4 linked regions of the Lepisosteus oculatus genome follow. The protein of the gene in region 1 purifies or fractionates together with the protein of each later gene. This does not show direct contact. Links are inferred from orthologs where the notes say so. Each region holds a gene or a part of one and is shown on either strand. Other genes may lie near its edges. The genes, in order: strip1, fgfr1op2, ppp2cb and sike1.

Region 1 (8,014 bases):
GTAAAGAAAATGCCCTTTAGCTTGTGCAATACAGACTCTTTCCCAATTGTATCACACCATAGCAGTCACAGGACAGTCCTTAATGAGGCAGACAGTGCCACAAGCTGCTACTCCTGAGCTATTTGCTGACTTACCCTGAGCCATGTACAGAATAGCTCTGGCTACTTTGAGCCTCTTCTCCCTGGCCGTCACTTCCAGCCCATCCAGGAGCCGCATCGCATGGGCCCTGTGCTGAGTGGCGTCCAGTTCTGTCCATTTCTTATCTGTCACTGAGAAGGCAAAGCATAGAACTGATGACCAGCCTGAAGGACTTCGAGCTCAAAGCCATGTTTATCACTGCATCTGTGAACATTGATTGGATGGGAACCTGTGAACCTGTGTTGGATTCTGATACAATGTTTCACTCCTACTGTATATTAAAATGCTATATTTAAAACCCGTGCTGTATCTATAAAAAATGAGTATTAGACAGTGATATTACAGAAATGATATACAATAAATGCAAAATAATATTAGACACGGTGTATACAGAAATATAAATTGCATGAAAACAGTAATCAAGCAGAGCCTGTGGTGCTGTACATTAACCACTCAACAGATGTTCTCCTTGTTTTAAACCAAAAGTACCATGTGTCCTGAAATCTTCAATAAAGCACTTCTTGTTGAGCAGAAACTCTGGTCCCTCTGTGTAACTATACAGCTCTAGAAAACAAACCAACAAAAGACACCAATATTGGTTTTGAAAACAAGACAGGGCACAGTGCAATCTAGTGAAAACTGACTCGTGACAAACAAGATCACTGTCCAGTATAACAATCATAAGGAAATAGTAGTCTTAGCTACAGAACAACAGAAGAAAAAAATAAAATACTGCAATTTAAAACATGACTGCTCCAATTTTGTACAAAGGCAATAAAAATATTCTTTAGGAATATTTGTGAAATTAAGCTTCTATATTTTTAAGCACCCAGAAGATAATATATTAAATATCCAACCCACCTGAAAGCTCTGCAGCCCATCTGTCTGTATCAGCATATTCAAACTCTAGATCAGGAGATTCAGAAAAACCCTGGAAAACATGAACACAACTTCTGTCTGACTGTTCAGGATTGCTTTTGTAGCCAAGCAACAACATGTTGTGTGTACAAGTCAGTGGCCCCAAACTTCATGCTTCTATTTTCTAACTACTTTATCCAATCACAGATAATGTAGGACAGCTGTCCATCACAGAGCCCCACAGTCACAGGCATAAACATGCACACACTCACACCAGGGCCAATTTTCTCAGAAGCCAGTTATTTTACTGTTAAGTCCATCCAGCCCATTGACTTCTGTTTCACTGTAATCACAAAGCCAGTACTGGGAACAAACCTCCTCCAAGGCAAATCCTCCTGAAACTCTTCATCTGGAAAGAGTCAATTTAAAGCCTCCTAATCCTAAACTAAACCTAACCCGCATTCAGTTAGGAAGCTGGAAGAAATAATGGCACCTGGTGAAAACTCACACAAACACAGGGGCACATGAAATCTCCAGACAGACAGGCACCCATAGCTAGAATCGAACCTTGCCACCCACATTACTCTAAGCATACAGGCGTGTAGTTCTGATCTTAATATAACTAGTGAACAGACTGAGGCTGTGGTTTTGTTACCCAGAATTTTAGATATCAGTGATCAATCCAAGAAAATTGATGAGGGGTTTAGTGTATGGGAGAATGCCGGATACTAAAAATGTACCCCTCAAAAGACTAATTCAGAATAATCTGGCAATGCATCAAATTTGTATTTCCTTCTGTAGAAGCCAACAGGATTATATTTAAGGGGATACACACATCGATGAGGAGGAGCACCAAAACAAGTACAAGGTTCAGGTTGATTACCAATTACAAACCTCAGTCAATGTGGTAACAACAAATTTTAAACATGTCCCAGTAAGAAATCTGAAATCAATAAGCCTGGAGCAAAAAATGAAAAGATAGTGGTCAATGCCTATAGAAATCCCACACGCCAAAGTAAGACTGTGCATGCTCCACATGGAAGATACCCTAGTGCCTCACTAACCTCCATGCCACTCTGCATTTACTTAAGATTATGATTTAACACCATTTTATTGTAGTAGTTGTACAGACCGTGTTTAACGAGTCCATTACTAGCTCCCGGACGTTTTAGATTGGTCCTATGCATTTCGTCATTTTAGACGAAAGTGTCATAATATTGGCAGCACCTCTTTGGCCAAGGTGGGGGGATGTCTTGCCAGATTAAGGGAACATTATATCCCATCTGTCCTCATTTTACTGTGGTACGCGATCTGGCCTTGAAATCCCCCTCCAACCACCGCGACAGCACCGGGTTCCCATGACAACGCCAGTTCCCATCCTTCCTCACCGGCTAGAATGAAACCGGGGATGTGGATTTTTTTTTGCCAAAATCCCCATGATATACACTGCGTTTCAGTCTGTGCTTTTTAAAATCACAACGCCTATTAATTTAGGGATACATTAACAGTATAAAATAATGCCTAGAATGGAAATATTTCAAGGGCGAATACCACCAAGTGGTACAGCAGGAGACGAACTTCTTTCCATTAGTTGCTACGTGTTGCATTAATAACGTCGCTTCTCCGCTTTCTCTTCCCCGCGTTCCCCATTCACACAATAACGACAGAAGATCAGTTCAATATATAAAATGCACACGAAGCTATTGGGTCTTTTTTTAAGGTTCACGCGAGTATTTCTGCTGTATGTACTAAGCGCAACCAAGGCTGTATCCTGTGTATGTTCTTCTTAAGCCAAGAACGTTAAGATAGCTTGTTTTCAAAAACAAATCGCATCGCACCAACACCCCCTCCCTTACCTCCGAGTCCTTTCTCTGATTTCGGATGAATTCGCCCCTGCCTTTGTTGGGTAACATCGCTCGCTGTTTATTGTTGACAACCAACGCTCCGCCAACTCCGACGTCCATCTTTGCTTCCCTGCTACACCCATCCAGCCCCCCTTCCACCGGCAGCCACATATCTCGCGAGAGTCTACTTGCTCACACAACAGGCAGAAGCCTACAAGACAACGAAACATCACGAGATTTCGGCTGAGGAATGCGGATGAGCACGGAACCAGCTGTGTTCTGCTGTTTTAAGGTGTTAATGGAGACGCTGTGAAATACGGACTGGTCCCCTAAAAAAGAGGGGATATTCGTGCTGGCGGTCCTTCTTTTTAGGCAATCATTTGCAATAAGCACTCCTGACTTACAGGTGCATGATAAAACTTTAACTTTAGTAACTCAATATGGTAATATTCAAAAATCTCAAACAAGAACATAAGGAAGCTCACATACCAATGGGGCTATTTCTATTTGGCTGCTATGTAATTGATGCCGACTACCTGACGAAGGACCTGAGGTTTTATTTCTCCTGTTCTAAGTCAGAAATATGCACTTCTCATTAGCTTGTGTCTCATGGCCCAGTTTTCACAGCTAACCAATTGGGTTGACTTTACCTTTGCCATAGAGTATTCTGAATAAGGTCCCCTGCAGGTTCAAAGCAGATCTGCCATACGATTGGTTTGTGGAAGTTCTATTCCTTTCTCACTGCAATACACACTCCAGGAATAAACATCTAATCCCACACCTGCCAGAAGCACAGCAGCTATCAATTCTCCTAGGCCAGGGGGAGGAAACACAATAGAGCTGCAGTATAGAGTATGCAATTTCCTGTCCCAGCCTGAGGAGCAGACAGTGACTCTAAATAAGAGCAATGACGTGTTCCTGGGATGACTGTTTCTGGTGGCTTTTGCCTGGTGGCTTTTGCCTGTGTTTGGCCCATATAAGAGAATTAATCAGCAGTGGGTAAAATCCTAAACCTGGAAGTAGGATATGCATGCAGGCTTTCTCCATCTCTCCAAAGCAACAGCACCTCGAGAGCTGGATGGAGTTGTTACATTGGTCCCAAGCCTGTTTTAGATATTCAGAGCTGTGCTGGAATTAAAACTGCTGACACGCCAGGGCTATGGGACCAGTATCGCCCTTCCCTGGGGTTAAATGGTGGGATTTGGGGATGGGAGGAACATTGGAGTAAAAGAACAGGGATACAGAGAGGCTAGGAAGATGGAATAACATACCCACCAACTTTCCCTCACCAAGGAGGGAACTAAAAAAATACCAAAAAACAACATAGCTAAGCTGTTATTTTCCTATTTCCATTCCTGGCAGTGCTGTGCGCACAAGAACGCTGTTTGTAGCAGAACTACTGATCCGACACAGGCTGAATCACTTGAGAAAATGCCTCTACTACCCTTTGAGGTAAGGTACAATTTGGAGGCGAGCCACTATGCATAACCTGCATGTCTTAAGATGCCAAAGTCTCAGAGCATCTCTCCCAAACCCCACCCAGAAAAAAAGAAATTTTCAGACACAGCCTACAACCTAATTCAGGCTGCCTATCGTAGGATGCAAGGCAGGTTGGATCCCCTGGACAGGAGATTCAGCCCATCTATACTGTATGGTAAAACATTTGGACATCTGTCCATCGCAGGGCACACACATTTCCACATTTTACTGACTCTAACCTAACCAGCATGTGTTTTAAGTACTACTACACTAAATCCTCTACAAACACTGGGAAAACATGCAAACTCCAATCAGAAGGTGCCCAAGTATTGAATCAAACCCAGGACTCAAGAGCTGTGAGACATCAGCAATAAACAGCCGCCGTTCCACCCTTTCCCTTATACAAACTCCCTACAAACAGTGAACAGCCTGGCACTCCTGATAATAACATTCCAAAGGTTAACACACGACACACTCCAAACATTATTAACCAAATTCCTTTTATTGATGGAAAATAACAATGAAAAAGAGATGTCATCACACATAAGAAGGGCCCAGTCTCACAAAGGGCCTCATAAAGTGAGCTTTTGCTCCACCGCAAAAGTGACAAGAACATTACAATTTTAGATTCAGTGCAGCTGGGAAGATCTGTATTGCATTTACTTACGATTTAACCTCAGAAGTTATATTCCAGTTGTCTGAACTTTGCACTGGTGCAAAATACAAAACGCCTTGCAAGGCAACACTGTAGTGCCAGAACAGGCCTGGAACAAAATAAAAGATACGCAATGGTAAAACAAAGCAGCTCTGTCCTTTTCCTGAGCTCTTATTCTGTACCCAGAAGCTGTAGACAAACCTATATAATACAACTGTGATAAGAGAGGAGCATGTGTTAATGTTCAACTTGTTTGGTTTCGGGGAGGACCCCCACCCCATATAATAAAAATGCATTGGTGGTCATTCTAGGGACGGTGGAGGGGTTTTAGTGTGAAAAACACCAGGAAATAATGGTGTAAAGACCCTTCGTTATACCATAGCAAGGCAACGACTGAGCTTTCATTAAGTACACCAATTATTCAATTATTTAAGGACTGCCAAGATCTCAAAAGCATCACAGAAATGCAAGGAATTATCACTATCTGTAAAACACTGACATTATAAAAAGGACAAGATTACTTAAAGGAAAACTATACACCTTCCATGCTCTCAGATTCTACTTGAGACAGAATTTGAAAACGATGCATCCAAAATATTTTTCTTTAGTACTTAGTACTTTGAGAATCTGAAGGGAGATTGACAAATACTGAAGCATGTACACTGTGAAGATCAGGTTGCCAAATTTAATAAAAGTTTGAAAGAACATGCCTAGCAAAACCCCTGGCTCCTCTCTGAAACCCAGATCGCAATACGTGCAGTATTATAGTTTGTCACACTCTTTCTCTCAAGTAACATTTTTACTCTGCCAGCGCAGATAAAGGTACAGTGAATGCAGTGAAACCACCAGATCACTCTATGACACACATTTCCAGGAACAGCATAATGTCACACCTCCACCAATATTGATTGCATTTGGCCCAAGCAAAATGATGATCTGAACATTGGAGTAAAAGAATAGGAAAAGGTGAAATGACACATTAAATGGAAACTAAAACATTCTTGTCATTCCAGCCTAAGCAGAAAACTGCAGTCTTCCTTCTAACCCAACTTTAAAGGGACAAGGAAGACAAAAGAAACAGAAATCCTTGTCGAGGCACAAGATCTCCACAAAAAGCTGCTGCCATAGGCTCAGCTCTTTCATGTTTGTTGGAGATGAGTCACCCTAGTGACGTTACAACACTTGAAGGGGAATGTCTCAACTGTATTAATTTCCCACATTCCACACCTTAACATTAATCTCAGATCCAGCAGCCAAAGATAAGAGATATTAAAGATAACAACATTCTATTCTAAATTAAAACATCTTGCAGCACACACAATGATGAGAAGTAGCCAGGTGAAAGGTTATGTTCATAACAGTTTGTGGACCAGTAGGTAGCACTCTTCTCTTTGTATGAAAACGTCCAAGTGTAGAGACCAGGGACACCGGGGCGTAGGGGTGCCAACCTACTGATGAGCTGTTAAACTGAGGTCTTGACTACTTCTGGTCACTTTATAATTGCAGTGAAGCAATTAGCTTCTCTTAACTTCTCAATTGCTTCTCCAAGCCTCCCCTGTTGCCTATGCCTAAAAGTAACCCTGCCAGTAACCTGGTAAGTCTATAAAACATGTATAAAACAAGTTTAATTATTAAACCAAGTCTTCTAAAATGTATTAGGTTAGTAGACTTAAAAAAATAAGACAGTCAATTCTCTTGTTTGATAAGGTGATGTTTGAAGTCAGACATAAAACTATTATACCAGACCTTTTCTGACACTTACAGTTCTGAGTTTTTATTATTTACTTTTAATACAGGGAAAAATGTCCACAGTTTTCTCCTGCTTTCTGTATTGCTCAACTGGAGATTGTCAAGGGCTGTTTCGTTTTCCGGATGAACAGCACATGACCCTTCCGCCACCCTCTCAAACCTCCACACTTGAGCCATGAATTCCTGCCAAGATGAAGTTGTGTGTTAAAGCTGGCAAGAGACAATGGGGAGTTGGCTCCTGTTCCCGTCTCTGCACTTTGGTCGGGCTGGGGCTGGCCTGTTCAGTCTCTGAGCTGCTCCCCGCTGCGGGGCAACTGTGCGGTGCGCCGTCTCTGCTCCTCAGCAGCCCCCCTGCGCTATCACCTCGTCCTGAACCACGCTCCCCTGCTGAATCGCAGCTGTAGCCAAGCTGATGGCTTCCTCCAGGGTCTGCTGCTCCTCCAGCTGGGCAGACACACAAGACAACGTCATGGATTCATTGGAAAGTCAGGGGAAGGCTTAAAGAGAGTTTTGTGTTTTTTCCCAATGCTCACAAAACAAAAGGTAAAAAGGCTTAGCTCCAGAATGGCTCCACCTTTATACTGGAGGTGCACGCCGACCACAGGTTGCCCTGACATCACCAGTTTAGCTCTGACCTGTGTCATTAACTGGACTGTGACCAGGATTCCCCAAGCAGAGTGGCACGTGTGGCTGATCACTGCCAGGGCTGGGGGAGTTGGAGTCTGTAAAGATTATCCCTCAGCTCGAACACCATGCCACCGCAGGAAAAGGCCACTGGCCTTTTCCATTTGGGAGGGTTCAACACAGATACAATAAGTTTGTAGATTTCTATATACAATTTTGGAATCAACAGTAAAATAAAGAGGACATTTTGCATGGAGACAAATAAATAATCAACATTTACTTCGATTCACATAAAGAAAAGAGTGAGGGATGCGCTGTTTGTGTAAGCAGGGTTTGATACTGCCTTGCTGAATTTGACTGACCTGCACAGCAATCTGTGTGCCATTTGCTGTGGCCAACAGCGCCACCTGCTGGTAATGAGGGGCAGACAGCTCAGAGGTTCCAGTTATCATGCCATCTGATGTTACTATTGCAACCTGAAAGAGTGAGGTGAGGGGGAAAAAGTTTAAATGCAAATAAAGTGACATCTTCTGGATTTCAAATAACTCAAATCACCTTCTAGAACAATCAATATAGTTTTCTATTCATCAATTTTTTAACCACTTCATCCAATCGAGGGTGGTAGGGGAGTAGGAGCCAATCCCGGCAAGCATACAATTTTCTGAAA
Region 2 (6,823 bases), on another chromosome or scaffold:
GTTCCAATATTTTTATCCATTACCGTGCATGTAAACGTAGTTAACGTATTGGCCTAGAATTACGTCGTTTAGTTTTCTCACCCTTTTTGTCAGTGAGCAATTCCCCAGCCCCACAGTACTACCTCTGTCTTCAGAAGGTGTTGAAAGGGTCAATGTCTTACATTACATTTTTACTATTGTTAAAAGATGAAGTTGATTATTCAGATTATTGATTATTCAGTTATAATTTAGAGATTGGGTGTGGAATTAAATAAGAATCAGGATTTAGGGACACTCAGCTACTTGATTGGGTCATGAAGGTTTTGGTCTTATTGAGGCTATTTGTGTTTTTTTTTTAATTTTCCATTTGCAAGACAAGAAATCCCCCCCCCCCAAAAAGAAAACCTCTTGTGTAACGAACAGTTCTTTCCGGACCCTATGCGGACGACACAATCCGAAGAAGTGGGGAAACACTAGGAAAACGTCATGCAGGAATACGGGGCTGAAAACAGGGGGGCGTGTCCAAAGTGCGCTGGTGCACGGGGGAGGTGTGGCCGAGGCAAACAATCCAAAAGTAATCCATAGAGGGAATCTAAAAACACAAGAATAAGTCCATAGCCAGGTGATCCATCCAAACTAGGAATTAAAACCATGAACCGGGTCGGAACCGGCGGACAGGGAACGGGACCAGACGCTTCCAGGTCCCGGACTCGCACGGTGTGGAAACCAGATGCAGAGCCAGGATGAGCGTCAGCGCCTGGCATTTAAGGTGGGCTGGGAAAAGGGATCAGGTGCACAGAATTAAATCTAAAGTGAAAGGGCTGGAGCACCCTTAAGGAGGGGGGACTATAATCGTGACATCTTGTTAAAAATCACCCAGCTTTCATAAATGCTAAAACCTTGAGCTAATAACACATCGGAAGAGAAAGGTGAGAAGCACAGGATGTGCTTGTGTTGAGCTGGGTGCTGGTCGTTTGTCACCTGTCGTGTAATCACTTCCTGCTAACCCCGGTCCGAGAAACCTCTGTGCTCTGTGCAGACTCATTAGGACCGAGAGAGATTTGTTTATACCCAGGAGACACTTCTGTACCTTATTGTACAATAAAACATTGACTGTAAAATAAAATGTACCAGTGCAAGTACAAATTCAATTTAAATGCAGCATTTTCGACTTTTTCTGCCTGACACTTGCACATGTTTAGAATTTATTTTTTACCGGTTGTTCTCTTTATTTCTATGTTATTTTTTTCTTCTGTGCAACAGTGGTGTGTGTTTCCCAGCCAGGTCATCATTGTAAGAGAGAACATGTTCTTAGCTGAATGATAATTGTATGAATTCTTAGTTGTATGACTTTAGAGTTTCTTTCACTATAAAAGGTTCTGGTTTTGATTAATGGAGTAGCTGTTTGTTTAGCTGAATATGTAGTCACTATTTAATATTGTCGTATGCTGGATTATGACGTACAACTCTGGGGATTGTATTACTTATTTTAGGTATTTTGTACAATTTCTGATTCTAAATCTTTGCTAAACAAAAGTATTTTATACAGAAACATATATTTTTTCATCAACAGAGGATACCCCACCCGTGTTATTGACAGGGTCCTCACCTGAGCGAAAAACAGCCCTCGGACCATCAACTCGATCAGGAACTCCTGGCCTAACAACAGCATTCCTTTGGTGCTTCCCTTCCTCCGTAACACACTCTCCATCCCCAGGACCGTTAACAACAACTTTCCTATCCTACAGGATGATCCCTCCACTGGGGCCCTCTTTTCTGATCGCCCCATCATCTCATATCGCCGACCACCTCATCTGTGTAACCTCCTTGTTCACAGCTCCCCTGACCGCCCTCACCAGCCATCCACACCAGGTATATTCCCCTGCAACAGAGCTGTATCACCTGCAAGTACACATCTAACACCACACTCATTCAAGGCCCCTCAGGACAATTCCAGATCACCCAGATGGCATCTTGTACCTCCAGCGACCAACTGTATCTCTTGCAGAAAATGAAGAAGTAAAGGTTTATTCCTTGCTTAAAAGAGAAGAAAAGAAACACAGTGTTTTGGCCTTCTTCAGGTGTGCTCTTTTCAGCAGGAATAAAGCTTGGCTTGTTCCTTTGCAGCCTACGCCTGCTGATGCAGCTCCCTACTTGAACTACGTATGTACAGTACAGTGTATACAATGTTAAAAATATCGTGAATAGTGTTTCAACTTCAATACTACCCAAATAAAAGGTAATTATTTTTAATTGGAGTCTATTTTGTGACTGTTATGGGAGAGAAAGGCTATGTATCAGGGATCTGAAAACTACAACAGAAAACCCTACAGATTAGTGTACAGTATAGTCAGTGAAATGTTTTAGCTTCAGACCTCACCGTGTAAGAAACTAATCAAATTAATTAAAAAATTTTGAAGGTAATATCCTCGATAACCACATTATATGTCTTTTTAAAAAAACACAGAGAGGTTTACTTTTTCTGCTCTGGTGTTACCAAGCGCAGCCCTGACAGTGTGATAAACTACAAATCCCAGACGTCTGTTTGGGTGCCGCATCCGGTGTGCGTGCGCCAATCAACCGGAAAAGCTTTACATAAACAGGAAAAAGATTCCGGACTAAGAGGCGCTGGAGTTCTCAGGTAAGGTTTGAAATTGTGTTATATGTAAAAATAGAAAAGTTAATAGGCCTAATATATAGTTGATTAATGTAGGCATTTATGTTTGAATGTGTACATTTATAAAATTAATTAGGAAGTGCTGTATATTCGGTGCAGCAGTCAGTGATACACTTAATTTAAACTAGATTACGTATTAATCACTTTAGAAATAAAGAAGTTCGCGTCATGAGTATTGCACTTCAGAGTAAACCATTGTGAAAATTAAAATATTTTAATTCAACATAGGCTTTTATGTATCATAATGAACATAGTGCAACAGGGATGACCGTCGACACATTCGTTGTTTTTCTTAACACTGCCAAAAACTTCTGAGGATGTCGAATCGGTTCTCTGGTCTGGATTTTCAGGATTTATAAAACAGTCGGCAGTTGCGTGTCCTTTGGGGGAAAAAATGAATGAATGCTGCCCCCTGTGATAGTGATCGGACAAAATCATTGGACAGAACCGTCGGTTAAGTGTCAGAATAAGGGAAACTTCTTGTTTGCTCATTGGTAGGAGCTGTAGATCAGGCTGTATGTTTGTCTTATTCCAGGATTCAGGGGGTTGGGTTCGACTTATCGATTCCCGGAATACTGTACGCGTTCTGTGTTTCTTTAAATCCCAAACTCTGCCCCACTGATAGTTTAGATATGCTTTAATGGTCCTTAAGAGACTTATAAAAACCGTAGTGGATTATGGTACCGAAGGATGAGAATCTCTCTGCGATCTAGCATTGGAGAAACAACGTGCCTTCTATTAGGACGTGTGTTCTTACTTGTCAGTCCCCACAATTTAATATTAAATAATCCAGGTGGGGCTGCACATTGGTGGTGGATGAGGGGAGTCCCCATTACCTGTAAAGAGCTTTGAGTTGAGTGTCCTGAAAAGCGCTATATAAGTGTAAGCAATTATTATTATTATTAGCGCGTAAGAGTTAATGTTTACTTTAAAGTAAAACCAAGAATGTCTCAACATTACAGTTGATCATTCGGAGATTCTCCTGTGGTCCCCGTGACTGGAGTAGCCTACATGTAGCCCATCAAAGCTGCTGTTGCTGTTCTTGAGCAGCTCTAGCAGATGCCTTGTTCTGTGAATTGAAACATGTGTTTGTGAAGCACAGGCTTTGTAATAGCTCTGGAAACCTAATTCTCCAACGGCAATGTTTTGAAAATTGTACATCTACAGAGACCTTTCTAATAATGGAACAGAAAAAGGATTCACAACACCACAGCCTTCTCATGAAAAAAGGTGAGGCTGTCTACTCAATTCAGATTAGGCCGATAAAGTCTGTTAATAATTAATAATAATAATAATAATAATTGCTTACACTTATATAGCGCTTTTTTGGACACTTCACTCAAAGCGCTTTACAGGTAATGGGGACTCCCCTCCACCACCACCAGTGTGCAGCATCCATCTGGATGATGCAACGGCAGCCATAGTGCGCCAGAACGCTCACCACACATCAGCTATTAGTGGGGAAGAGAGCAGAGTAATGAAGCCAATTGATAGATGGGGATTATTAGGAGGCCATGATTGGTAAGGGCCAATGGGAAATTTGGCCAGGACGCCGGGGTTACACCCCTACTGTTTTCGAGAAACGCCCTGGGATTTTTAATGACCACAGAGAGTCAGGACCTCGGTTTTACGTCTCATCCGAAGGACAGCGCCTGTTTACAGCACAGTGTCCCCGTCACTATACTGGGGCATTAGGACCCACATGGACTGCAAGGTGAGTGCCCCCTGCTGGCCCCACTAACACCTCTTCCAGCAGCAACCTTAGTTTTTCCCAGGAGGTCTCCCATCCAGGTACTGATCAGTTCTTTCTGTGATCACCCTGATTCCAGTTGATTGGTATTGCAGGTGAAGCTGGGGGGTCTGATTCTCTTAGGGTAGTGTATATACATTCTTTCTCATCTTATTTTGCTATGCTATGAATTCTTTCAGAGCGGCGTTGTGATTTCCTCCTTCTTACAGTGGAATCATACGTTCGGAGCATGCCCCCTCTGATCGCTGGGATGCTCTTCACTCGACCTGCTGTGGGGTGTATTCTCTTCACGGTTGTCAAATGGCTATTGTCCCCATGTTTTGCAGAAATGAGCTGTACGATAGACAGAGTTCTGGCTGACGCTAAAGCCCTTGTGGACAGGCTGAGAGACCATGACAGTGCTGCCGAGGTGCTGATTGAGCAGACAACCTCCCTAAACAAGCGAGTTGAAGCAATGAAACAGGTAACGCTGCCTTTCGGCAAACAGCTGTATGCATTTTGTGTCAGAAGTCGGGAAGCAACAGTGAATCACTGAAGAACAAGGGGGTGGATTTCTGTTCTCAGACCACTGTCTGAAGTTAAGGAGCTTTGTGCTTGTGAAATGCATGCCAAAGAAATAGATGAGAGATTTCGATCACTTGGTTGCAACAACACAAGGTGCCTACTAGTGCAAAAGAGCAACCACAAGTGAGAATAGGCCATTTAGCCCAACTAGCGCACCTGACAGTTAGTAGTGAATTGACCTCAAGATCTCATCCAGCTGTTTCTAGAAAAAAAACAGAGTATCAGCTTCAACAACGTGGCTGGGTGGCTTGTTTCAGACTCCCACTACCCTTTGGCAAAGACAGATCTCCTGTTCTCTGCTTTAAATACATTTCCACGTCTCGGTGCACGAAAGCGTATTCATGTTGATGAAATCTGAAGAGGGCTTTTTGAGATGCACCTTTGATTTGCCCTCAGTACCAGGAGGAGATCCAAGAGCTGAACGAGGTGGCAAGACACCGGCCTCGGTCGACCCTGGTCATGGGCATTCAACAGGAGAACCGCCAGATCAGAGACCTGCAGCAGGAGAACAAAGGTGAGACTCGCGTGCCACGAGACGAAACACATCAGCAGAATAATCATTCGTATCTTAGAGAACCACACCTTTTCATCTCTTTTCTTTCCTCTCCATTTGAATGTGTGGCTGCAGTCAGCACCATTCAGACCCGAGTGAAGGCTGATTCCACGCTGCTCAGCAGAAAGAAAGAGCACAAGGCTTCAGCTGCTGAGCGTTTCGGACACTTTCTCACCTGCCGTTGTTCTCCTGTGCTTTATAGCCCTACGTCCTCCCTCTTTCTCCCTCACACCTGAAGAAGGCTCAATAGCCAAAAAACTTTCTTCTTTTTTACTTGTTTCTTTGCAGCTACACAAACCCTTTCAATTGTTCAGATGTGTTAAGTTCTTCAATTTTGTGTAGTTTAAGATGAAGTGAAATCCCATTATTTTTTCCACCTGTCCATTCCTTAAAAATGTCCATTTACTCCTATGATAGAAGTCCTCAGTTCACAAAAATGATCTTCCAGTGAAAGTAAAGGCGTTGTCTTGGGTCACACCTCTTGTTAATATTAGCAAGAAAACAACAGTAGTTGGCAAAGAGTTGGGAAGATTAAGCATTGTCTGAAAGATGTATTGTAAATTGCGATTGTACCTTTAGCAGATTCCTTTTACTGAGTTACTCAAAGTAGTCAGCTTAGTGATTATTTCCTCCCCCTGGCCTACATCAGAAGAACTGAACAGTAAGTGTGTACATTGTAAAAGACTGCTTGTCGTGTCTGCTCTTTTTCACAGAACTGCGCACTTCTTTGGAGGAGCACCAGTCAGCTCTTGAGCTCATCATGAGCAAATACAGGGAGCAGGTCTTCAGGTTGTTAATGGCCAGCAAAAAAGACGACCCTGTCATAATCACAAAGCTGAAAGAGCAGCATTCCAACGTGAGTATCAGATTCACTGTTAGATTTAAAGGACTTTTAACTTTGTGCGGGCTTCTTAAACCTTCTTCTTAAACCATATGTTAGGCATTACCCTTGGCATTCACTTTTACTGATGGCTTTTTTACTGGAATAATCAAGTACCTGACCACCGTGCTGCCCCGGATGCCTGCAGTCAAACACTGTATAGAAAATGATCCTTAAACCCGCTGGCACCTGGAGTGCTTAAAGGTTGTTTTTGTGACTTGGTAACATCCATTGAGACCGATGGGGGTTTTGGATGTAGTATATACTGTATGATGTCATGCTGGATGACATTCATGTACGTAGCTGTGGTGCTTTCTTCAGGTGTCACTGGAAAAATACATTGTATTCTATTGTATGTACACTGGATTAATAATCCCCTTGCAATTACTCCATTTTATTCTCTGCTCTCTTTCTGCACAG
Region 3 (7,847 bases), on another chromosome or scaffold:
CCTGTAAAGCGCTTTGAGTGGAGTGTCCAGAAAAAAGCTTTATAAGTGTAAGCAATTATTATTATATTGGTGGTCCACTAAAAAACACAGCACAGCCAAATTTGCACTGTATCGTTTTGCACCGTACAGTTTTACACAGCCTCCTTTTCCAATATAATATGTATTAGAATGTGAGACCTACATCATGAAAACCTAAACTCTTGAAGACAATAAAGCAACCAAACAGCAAAAGATCTTAGTACTGAAATTGAATGGGTTGGTTTGTTTGGGAAATCGAGTGGTCGGTGTAAATATTTAAAGTTTTTGGACATGATGCACAACTTATTTTATAATTATGAATACTCAGTATTCATAATTCATAATTTATGTGAACATGAATTACCACATTTAAAGTGCCATACTGTGTTCAAAATCTGTGAAACAAAACAAAAACAACCCTTGCAAAAAAAGATAATCATATATTTTTCTGAGTTCAGTTCAGCAGCTTACATACAGTAAAATTAACATAATATACCGGGTGACTTTTAATTTGCAAGGAAGCCTTGTCAGCCCATATTTGAAACCTATAGATATTAGACAAGCCAACAAAGAAAAAATATTGTAACTTCTTGGGTTAATTATCTGGTGACGTAAACCAATCAAATGTCAGGTCTGAAAAGACAGCATCTACCGATAACTGTTACACTATTCAATGACCACAAGCCTCAAAGTAGTCACGTGCTTATTAATTCTTTTCTCGACAGGAAAGAGTTAAAAACAACTGTCAGTAGACAGCAGCAGCCTGTGACTCTTCCTTCGGGACACATCAAGGACAATGAGGTCATGACCTGTCCTCTGGCAATTAAGGAGATCCGAGACACATCATTACAGCTGGAGACCACTGCTCTCAGAAATGGTCATGACTCTTTACAGCTACAGCCTCATGTGCAAGCACTTAGTGAGACAATTCTGGAGACAATATATAAACTGCAGAATGGCTCTGAGCAGCAGATTAAAAAAAAAGCCAAATCTTTGGAGCCTTTTCCCCACACATTAGCCTCTGAGCAGGGTATGATGTGCGACGTAAATTGCACTCCAAAAACCAAGGTTTCATCTTCTGACTTCGTGTCTGTGGGGAGGGTGTTTGAGCAGCAGCGCACAACATGGGCACCTTGGCACAAGAATCACGGTTCATCCCTGCAGCGTACTCTGCCCTGTCCAGTTTCCCACGCACAACAGCGAGAATGCCACAGGTACCAGCAGCAGCTGAGACCAGCCTGGGGTGAGACAAAGACACAGACTTGTATATCAAACAAAAGGCACCCTGAGAGACGTCCGGGCAGTGAGGGACTTTTAAGGCCCAGCATCTTACAGAACAGCCAGCAGCAGACTCTGCATTCACAGGCACCACACTACTGGAACCAGCCCGTCTTACCCTTTTGGTCTCTGCACCAGGGAGGTGGTGCGTGGACACAGCAGCTTCACAGTGCTCCTGTGTGCTCTGGAAGGCAGGAGCTCCAACCAGCCAGTACTTACCACGCATTTGCAAGCACTACAGATCATGGATCTCAGTTTCATCATCTTCAGGCATTAAACAACTCCTGTCCGTATTACAATTGTGAACCCTTTCTCTTTTGTAATGGGTATCCATTTGGTATGAGCAATTCTCAGATACCTGCAGTGGACTCTCAGCAACTGAGGACATTTTATTCTGATCCAAATTGTTCTGCAGCAAGTCAGCCACCACCAGGTATGTTAGTACATGAGCTTCTGTGTCACTCATTATTTTTTGTTTTACTACATGTATACAGCTTGTGAAATCTACTTTATTGTGCTGAAGACCACTATCTGAAGTTAACAGATTCTTTACATCTTGAAATATATAACATAGTGGAACAAAGAGTTAATGTTTAAACAAAATATGAGATAAATTCTAAAAATGCGTAAAACATTTTTCAGGAAAAAAGTGAATTATCACCTGTCAGCTGTTTGACTGTCAGTTAAACTAACTTTACCTTTGATATTTCTGTTTTTCAGTGTACTGGAATTAGAGAGAAGCAGAGAACACAAGAACATTATGTCTGATGGTTCTATTTTTGGTTGTTTTCAAGAGTCCTTTCTGAAAACTTTAGGTCTGAAAGCTTTTATATGTTTCTTTCATATTTCTTAAAAAATATATTTTTGTATTTTTTGCAGAGTCCTGCCAAGATAATATTTTCCTTCATGCTTTCCTAGAATTTTATGCTCAATTTGTAAAGAACAAAATGTTATCCATGATTTAATCCTATACATTGTCTGAGCACTATTTGTTTCTGTACTGTTTGTCATATTAAAATGTATTTTTGACAAATTTGTCAGTATTTTTCTATAAAAGGTACAGTACTGATGTGACAGAACCCACCCTTAGATAAGGTGGACTCATTGATCTGAGCCCATGAAGATTCACAAGGATGACCCTATATGATGCTGGAGACTTTATTTCAGGGTAAACAGGAGATCTTACATTCAAAAGACTGTAAAGAGAAGCTCCCACCCACACCCCTTGCCTATTGTTAAACTCTAGCAGTCTGACCTGACTGCTTCTTAAAACGCAACTCATCACTAACACAGTGAAAGTCCCTATACCCATGTACCCAAACACATCACTGATTAACACCCATGTGAGAATGTGTCATCTACCACACTGTAAAAATAATAAAAATGAACAATTTAACCCCAGTGAAATTATTCTCGAGTAGAGGACGGTGGCTAGTGGCAGGTCAGTTGTTATTAAAGTCCCTTCAAAGACCAGCCTGCTACACTTTGCTTTTCTTTATTAATGCAAATTTTAGGTTCATTTAATATGTATCCTTGGCAGGGATATAGGGAAAGTATATATACAAAACAGGTAATGCTTTGTATTCCTATGTTTGCATATTAAATGTAATATAAATATTAAATGTATTCAAGATAATACGTTATACAATAGTGTAATGAATCTGTACAGTATTGAGCTAATAAATCTTACAAGTCATTTATGTTAACATAGTAAACCTTTTTTCGGACTGTGGAAATGTTACAAAAAGCCAACAGCATAGTTATACTGCATACAGTTACATAACATGTTAGCAGCTAAAGCTGTACTATACATGACCTATTGTCAAGTTAGACACCATAATCCAAATAGATATGCAAAGGAGAGCAGCATTGTTACAGAGCTGAAAGATGACATCCAGTGTACACACTGTAGGAGGGAGGAAGGGTGCTACTGTCTATATCAGTCCAAACACTTTAGTTCTTATATTTGAGAACGTGGACACGCTGGAGAAGACTACACTTCCCAGGAGCCTCTGGTGAGCAGCAAGCTGGGTCATCGATCACTGGGGTCATCAGTAGTGTGTCTGGAGCAGTATAAAAGAAGCTAGCTGGGCCAGACTGTTGTTTAAAGAGACTAGGCTAAAGGACTGTCCTTCAGTCCAGTCTCCTTAATCTTGGATTTCTGTTTATATCTCCAAATGTGCATGTACAGAACTATATTGACGCAGAGGAAATGTCTCAAGTCCATTAAAAGAGCACTCTTATTATTATTCCTATAGTCCCTGAGTCTCTTCAGCTAGTGCAAAGGAATGTTTCCCTGCTTTGTCTCTCATTGTTCATCTTGTAGAAGTTCAGTGGAAGGACTATGTTGGCTCTTGTGAGCAGTTAAAATACTTGAATTAGATCAGTTTGTCATCCTGTCTATGTCTAAAATGTTAATACTGCAAATAAAACTGAAATTCACGTTTGTGAAGAAGAAAAAGATGGAAGCCAAGACTTTTTGGCAGTTTAAACATTTAAACAAGAGGGTCTACAGATTAATTCAAAAATTACATCTGCTTATACATGATTAGTTGAAGAAGATACTCTAGAAAAGTTTTTATCTTTGTTTTGGGGTCCTAACAGTTAAACAGCAAGATGTGCAAGCATCAAGCAAAGTGTAATCTGAGCAGGGATTGATGAAAACAGATTATTCACTAACTCTGGCAGTGGCAAGGGATTTCATCTGGTTGCATCATGCTATTGAGTTTGATTGCTCTAAGCACAGTATCTATTTCCACACTTACTACCACCAGACACCTGCTGATCCAGAAGGCCCTCAGACCTTCAAATGCAGACTGTGCATTGCACTGTGCACCTAGATGACAAGATGTTTTGAATATTTCTGAACATGTGTGGAAGTAGAGGGCCCTCTGGTGAAACACAGAGGCACTCACAATAGTTTCAGCAGTCAAATGTCAATTGATTTTCACTGTGCCTGGGACCCTACACAATAAACTGTAGAAACACAATCCTCTGCCAAAATGAAAAATATTCTATTTAGTTCAAAATAAAGTTTTGAAATGTGGTTGTCTTTTGTTTCTCGTGGAACTTTAACAATCATTCATATATAGGAAATATACCACCCAAAACTAAAGCATAAGATACATTTTTTCTGGTAATGCAGGTACTATCAATTTGGCAGTCCCTATGAAAAAGGCATTGTGTGGCTGAAAGATCATGTTAAAAACTTGAATCATAAATAATCAATCCAATTATCATTTATTAAAACACGTGCAGAAACAGGTTTAAAACGTCTAACCAAGCAGTAGTTCATTTAAAGGAATAAATAGGCTCATGAGTAAGAGCTCTACTGGAAAAAAAAACTGTAACACAGATGCCCTCCAGGACCGGGGTTGAGAAGCACTAACCCACAGTTTATAGCCAACTAGGTCTTCTCTGACAGCGGAGGGCGCTAGAAGAATAACTGCTAACTTGCTAAAGCTATTTGCAGTTGGAGGGAAACGTCTCTTCACCGAGTGTTTTTCTTGCTTTGTGAAATCTCCGGTGTTGTGGTGGAAATGCCATTGTGATGACGTTTGGGGGAGGAGAGCGCAGAGCCGGTCGGCCATTACACAGCTGAGTTTCGCTGGGAAGGTCGGGGGGAAGAGGAGCTACTGGCAGTGAAGGAAGAGTGCGGCTCATCCCCTGCTACCCACCCGCTGGACCCAGGAACCAGAGCGCCTAAAGTCTTAGGGGACTTGAAAACGCCCGGACCAGTTTGATTTCGCCGTTTCTGAGCCGATTTCAGCTATCTGTTCCGAAAGCCGAGGTGCCCCCCTTCGCACCGCTCTGCAAAGCTCCAGCTTCAGCCTTTCAGCGACGAATTTCGATAAGAAAAAAAAGAAACGAGTCACTGCTCGAAACAACTTAGTGCTTAAAACCGCTTTGCCGTGTGTGTTTTTAAAAATGGACGATAAAGCCTTTACAAAAGAACTGGATCAATGGGTCGAGCAGCTGAACGATTGCAAGCAGCTGACTGAGAACCAAGTGAGAACGCTGTGTGAGAAGGTACGGCAATTTATGGTTTTTACCATGCATCTTGGAAGTGACTGTGTGTGTTCAAGTTTCAACTGAGGGTCAGTCTTTTTTGGTGTAATGTACCGGCATTTCGCCCCTAGCTTGTGAACGCTCGCTGTACTCGGGTAAAGTGAAGTGGGCTGCTGATGTTTGGGGCCCCAGCGACGGCGCTGCCAAATAGTGACCGATTGAACGCGAGCGGCGCGTCAGCTGCGGGCTGGGTGAGAGCTGCGAGATAGTGATCCGTGGCGCATGCGGCGTCCGCAGCCGTCAGGTGGGGAGAGCTCAGTGCGCCTGTGCGGGACGGGCTGGTGGGGCTCGTTCCAGCGCATCAGCAAAAAGGACCAGACGTGCTGCTCACAGGAGAGCTCGTTGTGGTTTGTGAGGCTTTTCTGTTCTGAAATTGCTGTGTTTATCCACTTCGTTATTGAGCGTTGTATATGCACGTTAGTGCATTTTAGTAGAGTCATGACAATTAATTTAAACCACGCGATATAAAACAAAAAAAAACTTATCTTGCTTAATTTTTTCCTAAGTGGGGTTTAAAACAAGCAATATTAACTTTGAAGAACACTCATAATATAAAGCGAGAAACAACGATGCTGTGTTTGTGGAACACAGCAATATTGTGAATGTAAAGCAACCATACATTGAAAAATGTTCTCACAGTCATGGAGTTTGTAATAAAGTACTACTTTAACCTCCGTAGGCACCATCATAATGTCTGTTTTGCTGGTGGCACGCGTAATCTCACGGGTTTCGATGCTCGCAGGTCACGGTCAGTTCAGTCTTGCAGGTTCTGCTGAATTCGGCCCTTGTGCACGAGGACGCCAGCTTTCGAGGTCCAGTTGCCCCGGGACGAGGCACCTGCTGTGTCCAGCGCACATCAGGCAGTAGCACCGTGTAAAAAGAACAAACTCGGGATTTTCTTCTAAAGCAGGGCTCCTCAACCTCCAGCCTGCTCTATTTTCCATTATTTCTACAACCAGCTTCTTAATTATTTAGCTGCGGACCAGTAGGATCAATATAGTAATTAAGGGGCGGGTTGCATGAGTTGGAGAATGATTTTGTTGCTCAAAGGGTTTTTATGACACTGTACCTTTTGATAGGGGGTCTGTCATCTGTCCTGGGGAGTCTAATACAGAAATATTAATTCTTGGACCTAAAGGGTTGCAGTTTGCCAGTTTCACAGGTTTACGTAGGGGTAATCCGCAATGGGTAAAGACTTGAAATAATACAGAGCAGCAGAGTGAACAGCAGAGTCCAGCTTGGAATGAAAACCTGAAAACAACAGCCCCCCAGGACCAGCAATGAATATCAGTGGCCTAGCATGTCCGCCAGTTTTCTAGGTCTCTTTCATTCACTGACAACTGAAGAGCTGGGCAGCGTTAAATTGGTATAGCCAGTAACAAGCTGATTTAGGTCATTTAGAAATGAGATGGAATGAAAACCTACTAAAACACCGGACCTCCAGAATCTTTATAGTCACCAAGCAGAGAGACCTGGGGTTGGGATTAAAACACCATGGACAGTTAAGAACTTCAAACACATCACTAGATGGGAGTCATGCTTTTCACTTAAGAAATGGCTTTGAAATTTGTGATTTTGTTTGTGGGTATAGGTTGTCTAGCTCTGGATCCTGGGCAGTGTGTGAAATTGTGTCGCTAAGGCAAATTAATAGGCCACTGAATTCCTTCAACGCTGTGCTGAATCAGAAACTAGAATGAATCACCTTAGCATCAGTTAAAATCAAGTTTAAATCTTGTTTTATAGGAAGGTTAGGATCTGATAACTACAAGTAAGGATTTTCATAGGCTATGTGCTAAGGTTCTAGGCCTGCTATTGTATATGTAAGTATGAAGAATACAACTGTTCCTAATTTAAGGGTAAAAGTATTTTTCTGATGGTGTTGCTGGGAGAGAAAAAATAATTGGGTTCCGGTCATGGCCAATCAGAACTGCTTTGGGAACATTAAGATGAGTCTGCTAATAATGATGGCTTTATTAAAATGCTCCAATAAAAGTTGTAACATGCCCAAGTGTGTGCCTCTGCAATGTCTCTTTACTAACTGAGTGCTGGGCTCCTCCATCTCCATTCTGAGGATTCTTCTGAGATAGCAATAGGGGCTCTGTTTCCCTCATTGCCTTTTTCCTCGCAACCAGTCTGTTTGAAACAAACCTACATGATCCCATGTTTCTTTAGCTTCTTTCTACCCCAGCTGTTGCCTGCTCGCAGAACTGTCATCCACCTGATAGAAACAGGCTTTTGAGTCTTTCAGTCTCAAACACCGACTGCTTCTGAGCCCAAAGTCAAGCCTGGTTTCCTGGGATTGTATTGTCAGCGTTTTTATCTTTGGAACAACCACAGGGATGAAAGCATCACTTCTTTTCCTACAGTTCTTTTTCAGTTAGTAGCTCCCTGTGTTTTAAAGAGAGTTTTTGGAAAGTCTTGCCCTTGCCTTCTCCCGGGTGAATAAACACCATTGCTTGAATGTCGGTCCCCTAGTTCATTTC
Region 4 (7,847 bases), about 4.9 Mb from region 1:
ATTATGAATTCTTTTTAATGAAGTAGTTGATAAAGTAATCCGATCAAGCATTTTTGATAATATTTTTTTCTGTAAAACCTCAAAAGCTTCTTTTAATATATTGTTGAACTGTTTTGAATGACAAATGTTGTTTGAAAATCCTTTGTGCGAAAGCTGTCACTGCTGTACTGCAAGTTCATTTATGTGTGAACCCCACTTCTCTTGGTCTTTGGTTGAGATGAGCTCTGAAGGACTTCATTAATTTTGTTTTGTTTTTAGAGAAAGGGAAAGGGAAAATTAGAACAAAGGGGAAAAAAAGCTTAAAAGAAAGTCTTGGTAAAATGCTTGTGTTGATCTACAGTACCACGAGATGAATCAATGAAAAGTTTTTAATACTGTGGGAAGTTTCAGCACTTTTCCTGTGCAGCATGCAGCCAGCTGGGGAAGGTTGTCTGTTGTTCATGGCAATGCCAACTTGGTCCCTCAGATGTTCTATTGGACTCAGATGAGGAGAAATAGCGGGTTACTGCAAGACCTCTGCAAGTCCGCAACATTGTTTTCTGGAAGTCATGTCATTGTAATCCTAGTACTGCATGGTCTCGCATTGTCCTGCTGGAAATGGACCCTTCTGGAGTGTCTTGCAGGAATGGAGAAGCTGTTGGCTCATGGCCTTTGTCAGTGAAACTGCTCTCTGAGCTGTAAGAGAACCCTCAATCTGCTTCAGAGCTGTTCTTGAGTTAAAGGAGATGTCTCCCTAGATAATCACAGTTCTACCACTACACAGCCTGGCTAGAACAGTGCAACAATTACCATAATACTAACCATGACAACTTTACCCAGGTTGTCTCCTGTCAGGACCATCAAGAGAAAAATCAAATTAATCTCTCCCATTCTACAACCAGCTTAGATGTCACCAGCTAGCATGCAGATCATCAAGAACATGGTGATCCAGTTATTATGCAGATGAGCAGGCTATTGTTTTTGGAATTCCTCACACTGTAGCCACTGCAGTCTGAAAACAAACAGGTGGGTCAGATTGTTCTGGGCCTGTACGGTGATTCCTTTGCCTCACAGGTGATTCAGTCCCTCACAGAGCCAATTTTCTGGATTCTCTGGACTAGTCTACTGATTGTTGAAGTGGAACATTTCTCTCACAGTCAGGCCACCTTCAGTTACACTGAAACCAACCACGTGGTCTTCAGGTCTCAGGTGGGAAATGGTTGACTCTTACACTGTTGCAGCATTAATCACAATCTTGCCTTTTACAATAGTCATTTACACAGATTCTTAAATTCATTTTGATCCAAATTGCAAACTGAGCACCTGTTTTTTTATAAAATCACATAGCTTGATTCCAATATTTTGCCCTCCAAGAACTATTCAAACAACTTATGTACTCACTTTTTAAAATGTAAATAACTTTATGTTTGTTTCCAATGAGATACTGAAGTAAAACCGTTCCATGTTCATTGTGCATCAGTACTAATTAAATGCCTTCAAGATATAAAATGAGTGTAGAGAAGAAATAAAGTGTTTCTTGATAATTCAACAATTTTTCATTGTGCAACTTCATGCCCGTGCTATGTGTTATTGTTGTGTTAATCTGTGTGCTCTGATCACCCAGAATCAACAAACTGCACATCAGTTTATAGTCATCAACTGACATTTTGTGCCATAGCTGTCTTATTATCCATCATTGGTAATTTGCCTCTTGTGAATATGCTTTAGAAACATTACAATTCTGAGAACAGCTAAATTAAAAGGGAACTGCTGTCCCAATTTCTCAGACCGGTTATTAAATCTTGGTAACAGAATAAATTCACTTACGTTATAGAAAATTTTTTACAAATGTTAAATTAAGCACAAAATTGTGAACTCTTTGAAAGTACTGTAAGTCACCACGTTGTTGCAAACTTGCATTCGAGTTCCCAAGAATTGTGACGTGATACAAATTTGGCCAGGATACCAGTGTACACCCTTACTCTTTTTAAGAAAAAGTCTGGGATTTTTAATGACCACAGAGAGTCAGGACCTCCGTTTTACGTCTCATCCAAAACATGGTGCCTTTTTCTAGTATAGTGTCCTCATCACTATAACTGGGGCATTAGGACCCACACCCCAGGGTAAGCACCCCCTACTGGCTCCACTAACACTACTAACACCACTTCCAACTGCAACCTTGGTCTCCCATCCAGGTACTGGCCAGGTTCACACCTGCTAAGCTTCAGTGGGCTGACATTTGTTAGTTGCGGGGTGATGTAGCTGCTGGCAAATTTTGTGATGTAAATTGGAGGTTTTACAAGTTACTGCTTACATTTTACTTTTACTGCAGCTTGAAATGCACTCATCAATACTGATTTTTTCTAACCCCGAAATATGATGTACAAAGCAGTTCCCCTTTAACATTGAAATTGTGATAGAAGGTGATCTAAATGTATTTATTATATGCAAATTAAATGGATTAAGAAATACACATTACAGGAAAATGTTTTCCCTGGTGTGGAACATGAAGTTGCCCCTTCTCTCAACTTAAAGTAGATCTTTTGCCTCTGGGTTGATACAAACTTAGGTAAAATGCACAACTTACTAGGTATACTATAGATATTGCAGTCATTACAGGATCAATTCCAAGTCTATCACAACAATTCATTTGAGACAAAAACACTTAAACTGAAAATGACAATAATATATATACATACAAACTTTGGAATCTATTGTAAATATCATTGTCTCATAACAATACAGCAACAAAATCTTCCTTCTACCATGTTCAAATTGAGGAAGAGAATGAGGATATTTCTTTCTTTTTTCTTTCTACTGGAGAAATGTAACAATAGTTATCAGGAAGTCAATAACATGGTTGTTCAACAATAATTAACGGAATCCCCCCTCTGTCCTAAATCTACAGAAATGAATCCCCCCTCAGCCCTTAAGCCCATTGGTGACATAATTAAACCATTCAATCTAAGTGTTTAATATCAATACTGGTATCCCCCTCCCTTACCTCAAAAAGACTTGCTCCTGTACCCAGGCACTGTCCAGAGGAGAGTGGGTTCTCTCCGAGCACCCCCCCTCTTCAGTGCCGTGCTGCTGTGTGGGGGGTGGGGGGAGTGTTTGGGAGAGAGGAGAGAGAGCAGTGCTCAGTCTGGAGCCTCAGTGGCTGAGTGCAGAGACAGCGCACAAGAGAGACAGAGTGTCCCACAGAAGAAGAACTGGGGGAAGCGAGGAAGCAGAGAGTGGCCAGACAGCAACCTTTACGAGTGAGCGTGGCAGTGAGTAAAACTCTTAAAAATAACTCCAGAAATGCTCCGAGTGCATGATGGCAGATGTTAAAACACATTTGGCATGTCCACACAGCATAACGGCGTATTCTTATGAAGGATAATCAAAGAAGACAGACACGGGAGACAAGCGAGTGAAGTGCAAAGCATTTTGGAAATGAAGCTGTTTTCTAATTTAAAAATTAATACAACAGCACAGCAGGGGGTCTTTTAAACCAGATCAAATCACTTCTCCCCATTTTCTGGAAGTCACTGTAAAAATATTTAAAGGCACAGATCTGACGAGGTTTCCTGTGACTATAGAAGAGTTCGGATGTCTGAAAGGTGTTTCAAAAATATCGCCTAAATGCAGTGTTGGTTGAAGAATTGTCTGTACTTGTATTTTTATTTTGCTTTGGAAAAAACTGGAGCAATTTTCAAAGCAAAAACATCTGTAAGGTGGCTAGTAATATAATCAAATTATCTGCTTTAAGAGCAGAATGCACAGAAACAGATCCCCTCAAACCCTTTAATTGTTTTGCAACAAATTTACTGTGTTGAATAGTCCTGATTTCAACTTATCTGCCAATGTTTTAAAGGATACAGGGTAATCCATGGAGCGTGTCAAAGGTCAGAGAGGGAAGACTGTTGGAAGCAGGAAAACAACAACATATTATGTCTTCTTTAGCAAATTTCAAAACCACAATTATTGAAGTTATTTGTAGGAGATAGAACTGGACGGCACTGAATCAAAAAACTATAGACACTAAAACCACAAACTTCCAGTGTGAACCGAGATAGGAATTTCCCAGTGAGGACAGAAAAATACAGAAAGAGTTTCCTTTTCTTGGCAGACTACAGACACACTTCTGCCCTCACTGTTCCCTTCTGCCGACATGGAGGGATGATACTGTCAATGATTTAATGTTTCAGCCCCTGCTTTGCCTGAAGGCACACTTGCTGTTGTCAGACAAAAGTTTAGGTCACTTGCAGAAAAGTTTGTTTATACAGCTCCCCCCCCCCGAAAAAAAACACAGGAGCAAACGTTTTCTTTAGAAATGATCAGGTAGATTTTAAAATGCATGTTTTGACTATTTCTGATTGTCAGAAATTACAATGAGAAGAACAATTACAGAAGAAATTGTAGTGATGTTGGAGAAGATCTTCTGTTCAGCCTTTTACCTTTAAATTTGTCCTGATTAACTCACAGAAATAGCCATTTAAGATATTTAATATAAAAAATAACTGGAACGTTGACAGGGATTCTTTCTCACATTACCAAATCACGTTTCTGAAAATGTTTCCGTTACATTTTAGGTGTTATTAATGACACCAGATAAATTATTCACAAACCAGCTGTTAACATTTCTAAAAACACTTTAATAAGTGTTAAAGTATTAAATAATTTAGCACATGAAAACATTCTGAGGGTATGGGACTATTGATAGATGTATCAGGGCTTTCTTCATGTCTTAACAAATGGAATTTTCAACTCCTGTTGCTGTTTTCCTGAGCAGGTCAGAAATAAATAATACTAGCTTTTATGATAGGATAGCAGTCTTGCACATAAAACAAGAAACGGAATGGAAGTCTGAGCCAGGTTACATTACTGAGGTTCTGACTTGGAAACACCTTTATTGTTTTCACAGCTTCCAATTCAGAGAGTGTCTCTATATAGGTTACACAGCAATGCTGAGAAGATTGAGAGTTTCTCTGACCTGCGGTCATTGATTCGCACTGAATCTCAGGAGAGGAGTTTTGTATTACCTTACGAATGGATATTCTGCAGTGTACAGAAATGTATGTATGGCTCTAAATAACCAAAATTTGTTGACTTTGCTAAGGACCAATTTAGAAGATGCCAGAAGTGAAAACATAGCCCAGTGAAGGTTTGAAACAAGTTTTAATTTGTTACAAAAAAGGCAATTACCGGAGAACACCCAAGAAGACACACAAGGTGTATCCCTCACCTCTGCCCCTGTAGTGCTCTGAATCCAAGCGGTTTTGCAGGACGTTTTATAGCCTGAGTACAGCTCCAGTCACTCTCTGTTATTGTCATGACTGAGTGTGTACAAGCAACCATTGCATATGCATTAGAACTTAATATTTCCACACATGGCACAATGACTGATACTGATAAGGTTATCCCCGCCTTTCAGTTATTCCAAAAATATCACATACTCAGGACAGATCAGGTCAGGGTATACACAAATAAGTCGTATTTACAAAAAACACCCCAGCTACAAACATTGTGATGTCTGTGAAAGTGTTTTTTTAGCTATACTACTTTAAATATACAGGATAGTACTCATGCGTTTTCAGTGACTGTCAACATATTTTATGTTCCTGTAATGTAGCAGTACTTAGTACGGACAGACCACCCTATTACTCACAGTGGTAGCCAATAACATAGTACCAGACAGAGGACCTTTCCCAGACAAGGACAACTCTGTCACACCTGCTGAAGTTAACAAATTAAAATGTGCTGTAGGGATGATCACCAAGTAGTTTAGAAGGTGATATATCAGTTTATTTTGGTGTCAGATACATGTGGCACTGTCCTAAAGTGAATAAAATATTCCTTTAAATGCTACCGCCACTAATATTATACTTACACTCCTAATACTACAGCTGATTCTAGCACTCTGTTGCGACTTATGCAAATGTTTCTACTGTTTTATATATTAAAACTACTACTTATAATAGCAAGATCACTGTTTTTCTATGTACACTCAAAGTTTGTGCTGTGTCATAAGCTGCAATTCATTGAACTTTCATTAGCTTCTGTTATTTATAAATAAAACAGAAAAACCTTCCTGGAGCCTAATAAAATATCCGTAAAATAAACAGCTCTTCATTTGTGCCGCTGTAGTCCACAATGGTACTTGTATAAGTCTGGATTCAATGGTACTGAAACACTTCATGGGGTGTCTTTGTGTAGGTCACTAGCTGATTTACAGAGGTGCAGATCTTGGTCAGTCTGTTGTGCAGACTGCAAAATGATTAAAAAGGAAAGCAAACAGGAAACACTTAAGTAATGTTGTTTTTTGAAAAACACAGCCATAAGCCATAAACTTTGACTTTGACACACTGGGAAAAAACTGTGGAAAACAAATAATAACATCTACAAATCATTTTAGTGATTTGGCTGTTTGATCCCAGTGGTTCACTAATGCTTATTATGTGCTTATTTGTTTAAATTTAACTACAAAGAAGACGATATTAGTAGCTCTTAAAATTGTTTATATCTGATACTTCACACCTTCCCTGCTGAGGAAAAGACCTTTTCCATTGCTGTGTATCTTTAAAACATTTTCAGTACCAGTTGTTAGTTCACGTCGGCAGTCTTCTGAAACTTTACCAAAAAGAGGAATGACAATTCAGTTCAACTTGCTCATTTGGTTTCTAACAAGTGGCTTAAGTACAGGAAAGTGCATTGAAGACTGAGAACTGGAGGGATTTCATTTACACCTAGGGCTGTGGGAGCCTGGAACGAGTTATCCCAATAATGTGATAAAGCTGATACCCTAAACCTCTGTGAAGAAGTGGTTGGCTGAGATCAATTAACTACTAGCACCTAATGCGCTATTGGAATGAATAGCTGCCTCTCCTTTACAACCTTTCTTGCATTCTTAAAGTAATTGTTTCACAATTTCAATAGCCTTTTCTTAAAGACTCCCAGTGAATCATCTTCCACAGTGTTGTTGGGTAGTTTGTTTCAGGCAGCCACAAACTTTCACTTAAAAGTGCCCCAGATTTTGTGTTTCCAAGCTGGTCTCACTTTCCACAGCTTCCTTTTCTGAGCTCGCAAGCGATTGTTTAGACTGATCTTGTATCTTTCAATCTTCTTTGTATATGTATATCCAGACATCTATCCATTTTATATCCAATTCTTCCAATTCAGGGTCACAACGAGCCTACCCTGGCAAGCAAAGGACTCAAGACAGGATACACCCTGGACGGGACATCAGTCCATCACAGGGCACACACACAGGCACATTCACACCTTAGGCCAATTTTCCTAGAAGCCAGCTAACCTATCAGTACGCTTTTGGTGGGAGGAAACCGGAGCACCCAGAGGAAACCCATGTGAAGATGGGGAGAACATACCAACCCCACACAGAGAGGATGTCAGGTCCTGAATTGAAGCCAGGGCCCCAGCGCCCCAAGGCAGCAAGGCTAACCACTGTGCCACCATGCCACCCAAGATATTTATATATTGAATCTATTCATTGATTTATTTTTATAATATATTTGTGTATTATTAAATATTCCTGAGCTGAAAATGGGTATTTCTAGAGTCTTTCGATCTGATTGGGAACATACGGTACCAAGGATACATTTCAGTTCTGAAAGGGAAGGTGTCAAAGAGTTAATGAAAGATGAAGCCCCCAGTGAGCCTTCCAACAGTTTTGTGAACCTCTTGCATCAGCCCTGGACTTTGTCGTGCCTGTGTCACCACTCTCTCAGAAACACGGGCGGTTTTATCTCCTGAGCCCACTTCCTGCTTGTACAGCAAACACGGCGGCTCCTGAGCCGCCCAGTCAGAAGGCAGGGGGCAAACAAGGGCCCTGTTGACAGTGCCTGACTGAGGGCAGATTTCAAAGA

What was found.
Region 2: the proteins of strip1 (region 1) and fgfr1op2 purify together in Homo sapiens (affinity purification with mass spectrometry; 3 studies listed by BioGRID and IntAct, with this or other methods). This does not show direct contact. The link is inferred for Lepisosteus oculatus from reciprocal best matches to the Homo sapiens genes STRIP1 and FGFR1OP2.
Region 3: the proteins of strip1 (region 1) and ppp2cb purify together in Homo sapiens (affinity purification with mass spectrometry; 6 studies listed by BioGRID and IntAct, counting the BioPlex papers as one, with this or other methods). This does not show direct contact. The link is inferred for Lepisosteus oculatus from reciprocal best matches to the Homo sapiens genes STRIP1 and PPP2CB.
Region 4: the proteins of strip1 (region 1) and sike1 purify together in Homo sapiens (affinity purification with mass spectrometry; 3 studies listed by BioGRID and IntAct, with this or other methods). This does not show direct contact. The link is inferred for Lepisosteus oculatus from reciprocal best matches to the Homo sapiens genes STRIP1 and SIKE1.

Annotation. Positions count from the first base shown.
Region 1 is NC_090700.1:37,169,611-37,177,624, reverse strand, and holds the start of strip1 (striatin-interacting protein 1 homolog), read right to left. Parts: upstream 3,001-8,014; 5' UTR 2,961-3,000; coding exon 2,853-2,960; intron 1,070-2,852; coding exon 1,000-1,069; intron 703-999; coding exon 628-702; intron 270-627; coding exon 135-269; intron 1-134. Other genes in the region: znf76 (zinc finger protein 76), read right to left, coding at 7,063-7,167, 7,710-7,823. UniProt on the Homo sapiens protein: Plays a role in the regulation of cell morphology and cytoskeletal organization. Required in the cortical actin filament dynamics and cell shape. Part of the striatin-interacting phosphatase and kinase (STRIPAK) complexes.
Region 2 is NC_090702.1:54,195,361-54,202,183, reverse strand, and holds the start of fgfr1op2 (FGFR1 oncogene partner 2 homolog), read left to right. Parts: upstream 1-3,822; 5' UTR 3,823-3,837; coding exon 3,838-3,886; intron 3,887-4,732; coding exon 4,733-4,869; intron 4,870-5,366; coding exon 5,367-5,484; intron 5,485-6,236; coding exon 6,237-6,379; intron 6,380-6,823. UniProt on the Homo sapiens protein: May be involved in wound healing pathway.
Region 3 is NC_090698.1:27,325,860-27,333,706, forward strand, and holds the start of ppp2cb (serine/threonine-protein phosphatase 2A catalytic subunit beta isoform), read left to right. Parts: upstream 1-4,835; 5' UTR 4,836-5,223; coding exon 5,224-5,325; intron 5,326-7,847.
Region 4 is NC_090700.1:32,285,207-32,293,053, reverse strand, and holds the start of sike1 (suppressor of IKBKE 1), read right to left. Parts: upstream 3,009-7,847; 5' UTR 2,984-3,008; intron 1-2,983.